2 linked regions of the Anolis sagrei genome follow. The protein of the gene in region 2 interacts with the protein of the main gene of each other region in a pairwise test. Links are inferred from orthologs where the notes say so. Each region holds a gene or a part of one and is shown on either strand. Other genes may lie near its edges.

Region 1 (7,951 bases), on a different chromosome or scaffold from region 2:
GGGTTTATATATCTGTGGAATGGCTGGGGTGGGGCAAAGAGCTTTTCTCTGCTGGAGCTAGGTGTGAATGTTTCAACTGACCACCTTCATTAGCATTTGAAGGCCTGCCTGAGCCTGGGAAAATCTCTTGCTGAGAGGTGTTAAGATGTGCCTGGTTGTTTCCTCTCTGTTGTTTTGCTGTTGTAATTTCCAGGCTCAGGCAGGCCTTCAAATGCTAATGAAGGGACCTGAGGCTGCTAGGAATTGTGGGAGTTGAAGTCCAAAACACCTGGAGGGCCCATGCCTGCTCTAGTGTGTCCCCAACATGACAAAGTTTGGAAAGCTCTGCTCTAGAGGCGAAGGATCCAGGGATTGGGGCAGGGTTGCTGTGAATCTTTGGTGGTCCTTATTAAACTGTTGCAAACCTTTGGAAAGACACCCCAGATGAGAAAAAGAGAGGACAGAAAGGTCCTCTAAACCAATGGTTCTCAACCTTCCTCATGCTGCGACCCCTTAATACAGTTCCTCATGTGGTGGTGACCCCCAACCATAACATTATTTTCCTTCCTACTTCATAACTGTCATTTTGCTGCTGTTATGAATCGTCATGTAAATATCTGATACACAGGGTGTATTTTCATTCACTGGATCAAATTTGGCACAAATACCCGATACGCCCATGTTTCAATACTGGTGGGGTTGGGCGGTTGATTTTGTCATTTGGGAGTTGTAGTTGCTGGGATTTATAGTTCACCTACAATCAAAGAGCATTCTGAACTCCACCAATGATGGAATTGAACCAAACTTGGCACACAGAACTCCCGTGACCAACAGAAAATACTGGAAGGATTTTGGTGGGCATTGACCTTGAGTTTTGGAGTTGTAGTTCGTCTACATCCAGAGAGCACTGTGGACTCAAACAATGATGGATCTGGACTAAACTTGGCAATAATAGTCAGTATACCTAAATGTGAACACTTGTGGACTTTGGGGGAAATAGACATTGGCATTTGGGAGTTGTAGGTGCTGGGATTTATAGTTCACCTACAATCAAAGAGCATTCTGAACTCCACCAATGATGGAATTGAACCAAACTTGGGACACAGAACTCCTGTGACCAACAGAAAATACTGGAAGGATTTTGGTGGGCATTGACCTTGAGTTTTGGAGTTGTAGTTCGCCTACATCCAGAGAGCACTGTGGACTCAAACAATGATGGATCTGGACTAAACTTGGCAATAATACTCAGTATACCTAAATGTGAACACTTGTGGACTTTGGGGGAAATAAACTTTGACATTTGGGAGTTGTAGGTGCTGGGATTTATAGTTCACTTGCAATCAAAGAGCATTCTGAACTCCACCAGCGATGGAATTGGGCCAAACTTGGCACACAGAACTCCCATGACCAACAGAAAATACTGGAAGGGTTTGGTGGGCATTGACCTTGAGTATTGGAGTTGTAGTTCGCCTACATCCAGAGAGCACTGTGGACTCAAACAATGATGGATCTGGTCTAAACTTGGCAATAATACTCAAGATGCCCAGATGTGAATACTGGTGGAATTTGGGGATTTGATATCTTGGGAGTTGTAGTTGCTGGGATTTATAGTTCACCTACAATCAAAGAGCATCACAGAGCTCTTTGATTGTAGAGCATTCTGAACTCCACCAATGATGGAATTGGGAATTTGATATCTTGGGAGTTGTAGTTGCTGGGATTTATAGTTCACCTACAATCAAAGAGCATTCTGAACTCCACCAATGATGGAATTGAACCAAACTTGGCACACAGAACTCCCCTGACCAACAGAAAATACTGGAAGGATTTTGGTGGGCATTGACTTGAGTTTTGGAGTTGTAGTTTGCTTATATCCAGAGAGCACTGCGGACTCAAACAATGATGGATCTGGACTAAACTTGGCATGAATACTCAAGATGCCCAGATGTGAATACTGGTGGAATTTGGGGGAAATAGACTTTGATATCTTGGGAGTTGTAGTTGCTGGGATTTATAGTTCACCTGCAATTAAAGAGAATTCTGAACCCCACCAATGACAGAATTGGGCCAAACTTCCCACATAGAACCCCCATGACCAACAGAAAATACTGTGTTTTCTGGTGGTCTTTAGTGACCCCTCTGACACTCTCTTGTGACCCTTCCAGGGGTCCCGACCCCCAGGTTGAGAACCACTGCTCTAAACCATGGAAGCCATAGAAACAAACTTCATCACACTAGAGAATGAATCCACTTAAAATCCGGTTTCTGCCTTCTGCAGAATGCTGGGGTTTGTAGTTTAGTGAGGCTGTGAAAGGCTCCTCCCTAAACTACAAACCCCAGAAACCGGATTTTAAGTGGATTCATTCTCTAGTGTGATGAAGTTTGTTTCTATGGCTTTCTGTGGTTTGTTTCTATGGCTTCTCATCACATTAGAGAGAGAAAATCCACTTAAAATCCGGTTTCTGCCTTCTGCAGAATGCTGGGGTTTGTAGTTTAGTGAGGCTGTGAAAGGCTCCTCCCTAAACTACAAAGCCCAGAAACCGGATTTTCAGTAGATCTTTCTCTCTAATGTAATGAGACTGAAACAAACAAAAAGTTTGCTGACAAAGCAATGACTGAGCGCCGGGGAAAAGTTCCCCAAACTTTAGCCACCGAGAAACATCCGAGGCGAGTTAAGATCCGGAAAAAAACCCTCGACGGAGATTCCCCCCACCCAGTGAGATCGGATCCTGGGAGTGGAGTTTCCTCTCTGTAATCGGATCAGGAAACGGATCCCCTCGACCCGGAGCAAGGTCCCAAAGCGAGGCGGTTTAGGCGGTCCCCCTAAACCTCTCCAAAAGCGCACCGAGGGCGCACGGAGGGCGCAGCAGAACTCCAGACTCTTTCCTTTGGAAAGGCTCAAGAGGGGGGTCCAAAAGGGGGGATCACTTTGGAAAAATGGGGGAAACTAACTCACTTTTGTGCTTGCCTCCTCCCCAGCCGGGTTTGGCGAAGCTCGGGCTCCGGATGATGGCCCGCCCGGCGGATTTGAGGGCGTCCATGCCGCAAAGGAGAAACAAAGTCTCCAAAGTCTCGGCCAAACTTTCTTCTGTTTCTTTTTTTCGCTTTCCTGTGCGTCCTCCTCGGCACTGGCCCCTCCTTCGCAGAGGGAGGATCTCCTGGGGAAAGGAGGGAGGGCAGGGCAGGGAAGGGGAGGGAAAGGCAGGCCGGGCAACCGGGGACTCCTCCTCCGCTTCCTGCCGGTGCCAAGCCGGGAAGGCGCACCCAGCAGCAACAGGCGCCGCTGTCCCGCAGAAGGGACTCTCTAGGCCAGGCAGGGGACAACCTGAGCCTTCCCTCCAGGTTTTTTGGACTCAGATCATCTGGATAATCTGTCTTGATGTTCAGGGTTATATGGCTGTATGGAAGGGCCCTGAGACACATATCAATCATTTCCCCACACTGGAATTCAGGCCTCTTCCACACCACTCTCTGTCCCAGGATCTGAGCCCAGATTATCTGCTTATCCCAGATTATCTGGCACTGGGGACTCATATAATCCAATTTAAAGCAGATAATCTGGAATCAGATCCTGGAATACAGGGGCAGTGTGGAAGAGGCCTAAGGGTCTCTTCCAACTCTTGTTGTTGTTGAAACTGGATGGTCATCTGTCAGGGGTGCTTTCATTGTGCTTTTGGGGCACGAAGGCAGAAGGAGATTGGACTTGATGGACTTGATGGTCCATGTGGTTTCTTCCAATTCTGTTGTTGTGGCTGGATGGCCATTTGTCAGAGGTGCTTTCATTGTGCTTTTACTGCATGAAGGAAGTAGGGGGTTGCACTAGATGGTCCATGTTGTTGTTGTCATTGAGGCTGGTTGGCCATCTGTCAGGGTTGCGTTCATTGTGCTTTTGCTGCACGAAGGCAGAAGAGGGTTGGACTAGATTGCCCATGTGGTCTCTTCCAATTCTGTTGTTGTTGCTGTTGAGATTGAATGGCCATCTGTCGGGGGCGCTTTGATTGTGCTTTGACTGCATGAGGGCAGAAAGGGGTTGGACTAGATGGCCCATGCGGTCTCTTCCAATTCTGTCGGTGTTGTTGTTGAGGCTGGATGGCCATCTGTCAGGAGTGCTTTCATTGTGCTTTTGCTGCATGAAGGTAGAAGGGGATTGAACTAGATCAGGGATCCTCAAACTTTGTAAACAGAGGGCCATGTCACAGTCCCTCAAACTGTTGGAGAGCCGGATTATATTTTTTAAAAAAAAATGAATGAATTCCTATGCACACTGTACATATGTTATTTGTAGTGCAAAAACACTTTAAAACAATACAATAATTAAAATTAAGAACAATTTTAACAAATATAGACTTATTAGTATTTCAGTAGGAAGTGTGGGCCTGCTTTTGGCTGGTGAGATGGGATTGTTATTATAGTTGTGTGCTTTTAAGTCGTTTCAGACTTAGACTGACCCTGAGCGAGGGCCGGGTAAATGACCTTGGAGGGCCGTTTCCGGCCCTCCAGCCTTAGTTTGAGGACCCCTGGACTAGATGGCCCATGTGGTCTCTTCCAATTCTGTTGTTGTTGTTGGGGTTGGATGGCCACCTGTTGGGGGCACTTTGATTGTGCTTTGACTGCATGAAGGCAGAAGGGGGTTGGACTAGCTCCCACTATTTCCAACAGTCTCAGCCAGGACTGTAGCCAAGGGGCGGGGAGAGTTAGGGCTTCAAATGATCCGCAATCTCTGCTTTGAACTGGGTTATCAGAGACACCTTCTGTTAGGGAAAACTGTTGTTGTTTATTCGTTCAGTCACATCCGACTCACTCTTCGTGACCTCCTGGACCAGCTCATGCCAGAGCTCCTTGGCCATTACATAGCATGGAATGAAACATGCAGAATAATCACAGGATGTCTTAAACCTACACAAGCTAGCTGGCATTGCCACCGCCCCCCCCCCCCCCCGATGTGCAACGGGAAGTTGCTGCTTAATGTGAGAGAAATAAGGTTGAGCACTAATAATAATAATAATAATAATAATAATGAAACTTTATTTATACCCCACCACCATCTTCCCAAGGGGACTCGGGGCAACTTACATGAGGCCAAGCCCAATGATACAATACATCAGTAAATCAACACAGCAATAAAATAAAGGGGAAAAATACAATACAAAACCATTATAAATAACATATCAGCAGTAAAACAAAACATTTAAAAACACAAAGATCCAACACTGTGGGCAGGGCCAAATCTAATAGATTCACAATTTAAAACTCTGGGTGTGAACAGCAGTAAAATGAATCTAAACAGGGTTTTTTAGAGGGCAAGGTAGGGTTGAGTGTCCCAACAAATAGAATAAAGTTATAAATTATTGTTCTTTTATTCAGGGAAGGCACATTGGAACAACCATGTTTTCAAGCTCCTCCTAAAGACTGCCAATGTGGGGGCTTGCCTAATATCCTTGGGGTATCCCTCTGGGCAGCTCAACCAAGAAATCCGAACTGGATGCCCCCCACCCCCACCCCCACCCACGAGGCTCTTCCTTCAGGGGCAAATCAAGGATGGGTAACTTGGAAGTCCCTGAACAAATTCAGAAGTGGAGTGGGCAGATCAAAAGACAACCTGGCAAAATGGCACTACCTAAAAGAATCCCACACCTTGTGTGACTGTGGAGCAGAACAGACAACTCCACATCTGTATGCTTATCCACTATGTCCTGCCTGGGGGGGTCATGAGGGGATACCAAAGGGGTCGCCAAAGACCATCAGAAACACAGTATTTTCTGTTGGTCATAGGGGTTCTGTTTTGGGAAGTTGGGCCCAATTCTATCATTGGTGTGGTTCAGAATGCTTTTTGATTGTAGGTGAATTGTAAATCCCAGCAACTACAACTCCCAAATGTCAAGGTCTCCCCCCCCCCCCCAAACTCCACCAGTGTTCACATTTGGGCATATTGAGTATCTGTGCCAAATTTGGTCCAGATCCATCACTGTTTGAGTCCACCATGCTCTCTGGATGTAGGTGAACTACAACTCCAAAACTCAAGGTCAATGCTCACCAAACACTTCTAGTATTTTATGTTGGTCATGGGACTTCTGTGTGCCAGGTTTGGTTCAGTTCCATTGGTGGTGGAGTTCAGAATGCTTTTTGCATGTAGGTTAACTATAAATCCCATCAACTACAACTCCCAAATGACAAAGTCAATCCCCCCCAGTCCCACCAGTATTCAAATTTGGACGTATCGGGTATTAGTGTCAAATTTGGTCCAGTGAATGAAAGTATGAGATATTTACATTGTGATTCATAACAGTAGCAAAATTACAGTTATGAAGTAGCAACAAAAATAATGTTATGGTTGGGGGTCACCACAACATGAGGAACTGTATTAAGGGGTCACGGCATTAGGAAGGTTGAGAACCACTGCTCTAGCATAAACCAGTACAGGTGTTCCCAGTGGTAATCGGCACACTGGGTGTCGTGCCAAAAGATCTCAGCCAGCATTTGAAAACAATAAACATTGACAAAATCATCATCTATCAACTGCAAAAGGCCACCTTACTTGGAGCTGTGTGCATCATTCGAAAATACATCACACAGTCCTAGACACTTTGGAAGTGTTCAACTTGTGATTTTGTGATATGAAATCCAGCATATATATCTCATTTGCTGTGACATACTGTGTTTTTGTGTCAGTAAAATAATAATAATAATACTGAAGGTTTCTTCTCAACTTGAATTTGTATGCAAGTTAGAACAGGTCCATTTTTTGAAGGGTAATTCAAGCCAAATATGTATATAGATTAGCTTTAGATAGCATAGGGAAGGGTTAACACTCCTGTGGTGTTTGTTTTGCTGCCTGTGCCCCTGTTCAGAAGATTTCACCTCACTTTCTGCCCCTGTGATCATTGGCTTTTGAAAAATTTGCTTGTTGTGGAAACCAGGATTGGTGATAAAGCTTTAGTTGAGAAACCTTTTCCCCATGATGATAACTCTTCTAGGAGTGAATTTTCCTTCCGAGGGCTAGATTTCTCTCACTTCCTGTTGTCCCACCCCTTCTTAACTATGAGTTGTATGGAAACTGAATATCTATAACTCGGGGACTGCTTGTATATAAGTATCACAATCCCTCGGAGATAGTGTGGAGATAGGCTGTAAAAAGTCTTGGTGTCTTATTGGACCCTCTGCTCACAATGGAGGCCCAGGTCTCTGCTGTGAGCAGATCTGCATTTTTCCATCTGCTAGGCGACTGGCTCCCTACCTATCTAGGAACGACCTGGCTACGGTGATCCAGGCAATGGTCAGCTCGAGGCTTGACTACTGTAACGCCCTCTACATTGGCCTTCCTTTGTCAGTGATCCGGAAACTGAAGCTGGTGCAAAATGCGGCGGCTCGTCTTCTCGCCAGGGTGCCGGTGAGGTGTCGTATCACCCCAGTTCTACAACAGCTGCACTGGCTACCAATTGAGTACCGGATTACTTTCAAGGTGCTGGTATTAACCTTTAAGGCCTTATATGGTCTGGGGCCGGCGTACCTGAGGGCCCACTTATCCCCCTACCAACCCCAGAGATTACTTCGGTCCGAAGACCAAAATTTGCTTGAAGTCCCCAACATCCGGACTTATCATCTGTCCTCTACTAGGCAGAGAGCCTTCTCGATTGTGGCCCCTTATTTATGGAATGCCTTGCCAGTTGAAACCCGATCTATCTGAGACCTACTTGCTTTTCGGAAAGCCTGTAAAACCTTTTTCTTCCGACAAGCTTTTGATGGGTGAATAACTCGAGACTATGTCTGTTCTTGTTTTTATTGTATTTTAAAGTTAATTGTATTCTTTTAATCTACTGCTGTAAACTGCTCCGAGCCAAATTGGGAGTAGCGGTATACAAGTCAAATAAATAAATAAATAAATAAATATAAATAAAGTGTTATTATTATCATTGATATCAGAACTTTCCAAACTACACCATGAGACGTTCGTGAAGGGCTTCCCAAATAGTTT
Region 2 (7,157 bases):
CGCTCCTATCCTTTAGGAAAAAACTAAAACCGTGGATCTGGGACCAGGCATTCGGACAAGCGGGCAGATAAAGAAAGAACTTTTGACGATGACTAGGAATGATTAATGGATTAGACCTATGGAACTCTGGGAAACGAAACGCTGAGCACGAGAATAGTAGATATGATGTTTTATATGATGTGTTATGTACTGGTTGTTGTTTGTTTTAACTGTGATAACTGTTTTTAATTATGGTTTTGTATATTGTGTGTAATTTTGTACAGGCATCAAATTGTGCCTTTTCTGTAAGCCGCCCTGAGTCCTCCATCCGGGGTTGAGAAGGGTGGGGTAAAAGTACCCGAAATAAATAAATAAATATGTGGTTTTGCACATGCATTGTAATGTATTTTTTATTTTTTGGATTCTTAAATCTCTTCTGCTGTGTTTTCCAGTGTTTTTATGTGTCATGGTCATTCATTGGCCTGAGAGGTGTATTGTGTCCAAATTTGATGTCAATTCATCCAGTGGTTTTTGAGTTATGTTAATCCCACAAATGAACATTGCATTTTATTTATATAGATTATTATTATTATTATTATTATTATTATTATTATTCTGTTATTGTAATTATATTATATTATTAATTATTTGCAGCAGGGACATCTTGCTATAGCACGTTATATTATTATTATACAATAATTATATTATATTATTGTATTATATTACCAATTATTATCTGCAAGAGCGACATTTTGCTATAGCACTTTATTATATTATATTATTATATTTATTATTCTATTATTGTAACTATTATATTATTATAATTGCAGCAGGGACATCTTGCTATAACATGTTATATTATTATATTATAATATATTATATGATTATTATAATAATTATTATATTATTGTATTGTATTATTAATAATTATCTGCAAGAGGAACATTCTGCTATAGCACAATATATTATATTATATTATATTATATTATATTATAATAATTATATTTAGTTTATTATTGTAATTATTATATATTATTATTAATAATTATCTGAAGGAGGGACATTCTGCTATAGCACATTATTATATTATATTATTATAATTATATTTATTTTATTATTGTTCTTCTTCTTATTATTATTAATTATCAGTAGGAGGGACAGCCTGCTATAGCACATGCATTATTATTATAATATAATATATTATTATTGTATTTATTATTATATTGTTGTATTGTATTATTATTAGTAATTATCTGCAGGAGAGACACCCTGCTATAGCACATTATATTATATTATTATTATTATATTATTATTATTGTATTATTGTGTTAAATTATTATAATATTATTAATAATTATCTGCAGGAGGGACATCCTGCTATAGCATATTATATTTTTATTATATTATAATATTACATTATATAATTACAATTATATTTATTATTATATTATTGTATATAATATATTTTAGAAGTAGAAACAGAATGCTTCAGAGAAAAGACTCCATTAGACTCTCAGAACAGTGAGATGCTTTAGGCTTTGGACTATTGATTGTAAGAAAGATGCCCTGTGTTATCTGCACAGAGAAAGTAATCATCATCCCAAGTGACAGCAGAATTGACAAGAAGCAACTGGAAAAACTTACACGATATGAGAATTTAAAGATCAAACTGCAAAGATTTTGGCACAAGCCAGTCAAGCAAGTCCCAGTTGTGATCAGCACACTGGGTGCAGTGCCTCAAGACCGTGGCCTGCACTTGAAAACAATCGGCACTGACAAAATTACCATCTGTCAGCTGCAAAAGGCCACCTTACTGGGATCTTTTGTGTTCAAATACAACAGCCAGCATAGGGATCTTGTTCGCTGTGGACTCATCTTGTTGCATATCAAATAATAATAATAATAATAATAATAATAATAATAATAATTTATTTATTGACTGCCTTATCTTCCTGGGTGGTTTCTAACACATATGGCAGACTTTCAATACCAACAAAGAGACATATAACAGATGACACATCACAAAAAATATCACTTTTTAAAATTCTATCTGTAAATGGATTGATATGCAATATACATGCATGCTGAATACATGTTTGTGAGTAACTGTTACATTTAATGACATCTACTTATTTTTGGTTTCTTGAAAGCATGATTTAAACTAAGATGTTTTGAGGGAGAGTAGATTTTGGGGGTCAACTGAAAAGGACACTTCTGAAACTCTGCTATATATGTTTTTGTGTATTGGCATATCTTTGTTCCTAACAGTTCAGAGACCAATTTGCATGAATACTTGTAGATATTTGCCACTAAGGAGAAGGTTGACACAAGTGAGTTTTGAATTCTAAGGAAGATAATACTTTATGAAAGGTTACAATCTCTAACAAGGTCATGCCTTTCCAAAAGATTCGTAGTTTCCCCCAAAAAGTTATGAATGGCATTTTCCAAAACCGCCCATCCTCCTCTTCCTTTTTGTTTTCCTTCTTCGCCTTCTGTTTCCTGCAGCTTAAGAAGTCTCCTTGGAAGGTCCTAGTGAAGACCCCCAATCTGAGCTCTAGGTAGCCCAATAGAGTATCCTTGGAAGGTCTCAGTGATGATCCCCAATCTGAGTTCTAGGTAACCCAATGGAGTATCCTTGGAAGGTCCTAGTGAAGACCCCCAATCTGAGTTCTAGGTAACCTAATGGGGTGTCCTTGGAAGGTCCTAGTGAAGACCCCCAATCTGAACTCTAGAAAGCCCAATAGAGTATCCTTGGAAGGTCCCAGTCAAGACCCCCCAATCCGAGCTCTAGGTAGCCCAATGAAGTATCCTTGGAAGGTCCTAGTGAAGACCCCCAATCTGAGCTCTAGGTAGCCCAATGGAGTCTCCTTGGAAGGTCCTAGTGAAGACTCCTAATCTGAGCTCTAGGTAACCCAATGGAGTCTCCTTGGAAGGTTCTAGTGAAGACCCCCAGTCTGAGCTCTAGGTAACCCAATGGAGTCTCCTTGGAAGGTCCTAGTGAAGACCCCCAATCTGAGCTCTAGGTAGTCCATTGGAGACCTTCTCCTGCTCCTTCTATAGACTCACCAGATACAGACGGCTTGGGCTCCTGAGCCAGATGCTCCTCCGTGGCTCGGCTCTGCTTCTCTTTAGGGAATGGGCCTCTTGTGAAGCAGGCTCCTCCTGAATGGCAAACGGACCATCTAAGGCCCAGAAGGACGGGGCCTTCCCCTTTCTCCGGGGCCCCCAAAGCAAGGCCCCCGCTTGCCACACTTGGCTCGTCTGACGCTAACACTTGTCTTCTGAACAGGAAGTCCCAGCGGTAGAGGCAACCGCACAGAAACCTGATGCAATTCAGGGGCCCGGCTTCCTCCTCTTCCTCTTGTGGAGCCACTTTGACACCAAAGAGAGCGACCCAAGGTCGCGTGCCTTCCCCAACACCCTTTGGGGTTATTGCTGAATTTTTAGTTGTATATATATACTAGCCGTCCCCTGCCACACTTTGCTGTGGCTGTCTGTGTATAGGTGTTTGTGTGTGTATATATTTGTGTATATGTGTATATATGTATGTTTGTGCAGTGGTTTTGCATATGCGTTAAAATGTATTTTTTTATTTTTTGGCTTTTTAAGTCTCTTCTGCTGTGTTTTCCATGTTTTTATGAGTGATGGTCACTCATTGGCCTGATAGGTGTATTTTGTCCAAATTTGGTGTCAATTCATCCAGTGGTTTTTGAGTTATGTTAATCCCACAAACGAACAGTACATTTATACACACACATATATATGTATCCAGGGCCGTAGCCAGAGGGAGGGGGTTTAAGGGTTCTAACCCCCCCCCCCCCCCAACCCTGGTTTATTCATGAATTTTAACTGGTCAACCAATTTATGAGTAAATTCTTTTTTAACCTGACACATTTCAGGACAGGGTTGAACTTTTAAACCCCTCCCTCTGGCTACGGCCCTGTGCATGTATATGTAAAGGTTTTCCCCTGACATTAAGTCCAGCTGTGCCTGACTCTGGGGGTTGGTGCTCATCTCCATTTCTAAAGCAAAGAACCGGCATTGTGCATAGACACCTCCAAGGCTATGGAGCCACTGGCATGACTGCATGGAGTAGCCTTACCTTCCTAGCAGAGCGGTACCAATTGATCTACTCACATTTGCATCTTTTTGAACTGCTAGCTTGGCAGAAGCTGGGGCTAACAGGAGGAGCTCACCCCGCTCCTCATATTCGAACTGCTTACCTTTTGGTCAGCAAGTTCAGCAGCTCAGCGGTTTAACCAACTGCCCCATCAGGGGGTTCTATATATATATATATATATATATATATATATACACACCGCTTTATTGCTCCATACAGAGACTCAAATTGTCTAACAATCTAAAACATTACAACTTAAAATATACAAATGTAGAATAATAAAACAGAATATATTTTATATATTCAGTAGTATTATAGTTAATTAAATCAGTATTATTATATTACAATATTATTATTATATATCATTATATTCTATTATTATTATTATTATTATTATTATTATTATTATTATTATTATTATTATTTGAAGCACAACAAGATGAGTCCACAGCAGACACTCTGCTGGCTGTTGTATTGGATCACACTTTGGACACTTCCCAAGCATCTAGGACTGTGTGATTTATTGTTATTATTATTATTATTATTATTATTATTATTATTATTATTATTTTGAAGCACAAGAAGATGAGTCCACAGCAGACACTCTGCTGGCTGTTGTATTGGATCACACGTCAGACACTTCTCAAGTGTCTAGGACTGTGTGATGTATCGGCGAATAATGCATGCAGACCCCAGTAAAATGGCCTTTTGCAACTGGCAGATGGTAATTTTGTCAGCACTGATTGTGTTTAAGTGCAGGCCAAGGTCTTTAGTCACTGCACCCAGTGTGCTGATCACCACTGGGACCACCTTAACTGGCTTGTGCCAAAGTTTTTGCAGTTCGATCTTTAAATCCTCATATCATGTCATCTTTTCCAGTTGCTTCTCTTCAATCCTGCTGTCGCCTGGGATTGCAATATCAACAATCCATACTTTGTTTTTTTTAACATGATTGTGAGGTCAGGAGTCTTGCGCTCCAAAACACTATCAGTCTGAATCCGGAAGTCCCAGAGGAGTTTGGCGTGTTCATTCTCTGTAACTTTTTCCAGCTTGTGATCCCACCAGTTCTTTGTCGCAGGCAGATGGTGTTTGTGGCATAACTTCCAATGGATCATCTGAGCAACGGTGTTCTGCCTCTGCTTGGAGTCTGTCTGCGCGATCTTCTTGCAGCAGCTGAGGATGTGATCTATTGTTTCATCTGCTTCCTTACAGAGTCTCCATTTGGGATCTGTTGTTGACTTTTCAGTTCTGGCTTTGATGGCATTGGTTCGAATGGCTTGTTCTTGGGCTGCCAGAATCAGGGCCTACGTCTCCTTTTTCAAAGTTCCATTTGTGAGCCACAGCCATGTTTTTTCTTTGTCCATTTGGCTCTCAATTTTTGCCAGGAATTGTCCATGGAGAGCCTTCTTTTGCCAGTTTCCTCTTCTGCTCTGCATTGTGTTTTTACGGTATTCACTCTTTGTCTTTTGCACTTGAAGCAGCTTTCTATTATTTACTTCCCTCAATGTTGGTTCTTGACTGCCTTTCACATAATCTGCCAGCACATGTTTTTCTTCTTCTACCGTTTGTTTCACTTGCAGAAGCCCTCTCTCTGCCTCCTGATTTTCTGGGCAGGTAAAGTCTGTTGACATCACTACGCGGATGTAATGCGTAGTGGATTGTCATCAGTTTTCTTGTTTTTCTGTCCAGATCATCCAGCTCTGTTTGTGTCCAGTTCACAATCCCAGCAGTGTATCTAATGACGGGGATGGCCCAGGTGTTGAGAGCCTTAATTGTATTTCTGCCATTTAATTTGCTCTTCAAAACCTTTCTGACTCTTTTATTATTATTATTATTATTATTATTATTATTATTATTAGGTTCTTGTGGGTTTTTTCGGGCTATAGAGCCATGTTCTAGAGGCATTTCTCCCGACGTTTCGCCTGCATCTATGGCAAGCATCCTCAGAGGTATCCTCAGCATCCTCCTGAGACCTCACTACCTCTGAGGATGCTTGCCATAGATGCAGGCGAAACGTCAGGAGAAATGCCTCTAGAACATGGCTCTATAGCCCGAAAAAACCCCACAAGAACCTAGTGATTCCAGCCATGAAAGCCTTCGACAATACATTATTATTATCATTATTATTATTATTATTATTATTTATTTTATATTATTTTTTATATAATAATAATAATAATAATAATAATAATAATAATAATAATAATAATTGTAGCCCCTGGTGGTGCATCTGACCTGGGAAACCTAGACAGCCCCTCCATCTAGCAATTGGTTGGTCTTCCTCTCAGCCTTAGCAGGAGCCTCCCCCCCAACCCAGGAAAAGCTGCATTTTCCTTTTCCTTCCTTAGGTTTTCATTAATCTGTAATCACTTCATAGAAAAATAAATGTCGAAAAAGAAACACCACGACCTGGTTCAGGGTTCTAGAGTGAAGCAAACATCCTGTCATGGAGCGGAACGCGTTCCACTCTAATGAACCCAGGAAATGATGATCAAAATGAAGAGAGGCAGGTGCAAGGAAATGCACGCCGTGAAGAGCAATCCAGCCCTGATGGTGTTAATTTTTTTTATTAACACTTATCATATTGCTCTTTGGTGAGTAGCATAAGAAGAGATGGGAAAAAACAACAAAGAGCGGTACAATTTAAAGCATAAAATGAAAAAAAGCACCCAAAATACTACAGTTTTGTGGAGACACAAAACTTTGGAAAAGCAGACAGGTGAGATACAAAAGTTCTGTTGGATGATCCTGATGCGACTTCTGGGGATTTATTTAGGAGTATAGTTGCAAGGAGGATACTGAAAACAGCTGGAAGGCATACAAAAACAGCAGAAGCAGTTGCAGCAACAGCAACAACAACCCACTTTTGCTGCAAAGGCCCTTCCTTCCCTCCCATCTACCAACAAAGCCAAGTTTTGGTGCTGCAGAGGACAGGGAAAGTGCTCCTAGTTTGAAAGTGTTAGTTATTCATGTTTAATAGTGTGGTCCTTACTTTACAATTATTGTTCTACTCCTGAAATTTCACAACCTCTGAGGATGCCTGCCATAGATGCAGGTG

Evidence for each region.
Region 1: the proteins of PSD4 (region 2) and LDLRAP1 interact in binary tests that used the Homo sapiens proteins (3 or more experiments, as listed by UniProt). The two-hybrid records come from large-scale screens. The link is inferred for Anolis sagrei from reciprocal best matches to the Homo sapiens genes PSD4 and LDLRAP1.

Annotation. Positions count from the first base shown.
Region 1 is NC_090034.1:75,620,444-75,628,394, forward strand, and holds the start of LDLRAP1 (low density lipoprotein receptor adapter protein 1), read right to left. Parts: upstream 3,145-7,951; 5' UTR 3,021-3,144; coding exon 2,936-3,020; intron 1-2,935. UniProt on the Homo sapiens protein: Adapter protein (clathrin-associated sorting protein (CLASP)) required for efficient endocytosis of the LDL receptor (LDLR) in polarized cells such as hepatocytes and lymphocytes, but not in non-polarized cells (fibroblasts).
Region 2 is NC_090027.1:20,934,012-20,941,168, forward strand, and holds the start of PSD4 (PH and SEC7 domain-containing protein 4), read right to left. Parts: upstream 3,252-7,157; 5' UTR 3,046-3,251; intron 1-3,045. UniProt on the Homo sapiens protein: Guanine nucleotide exchange factor for ARF6 and ARL14/ARF7. Through ARL14 activation, controls the movement of MHC class II-containing vesicles along the actin cytoskeleton in dendritic cells. Involved in membrane recycling.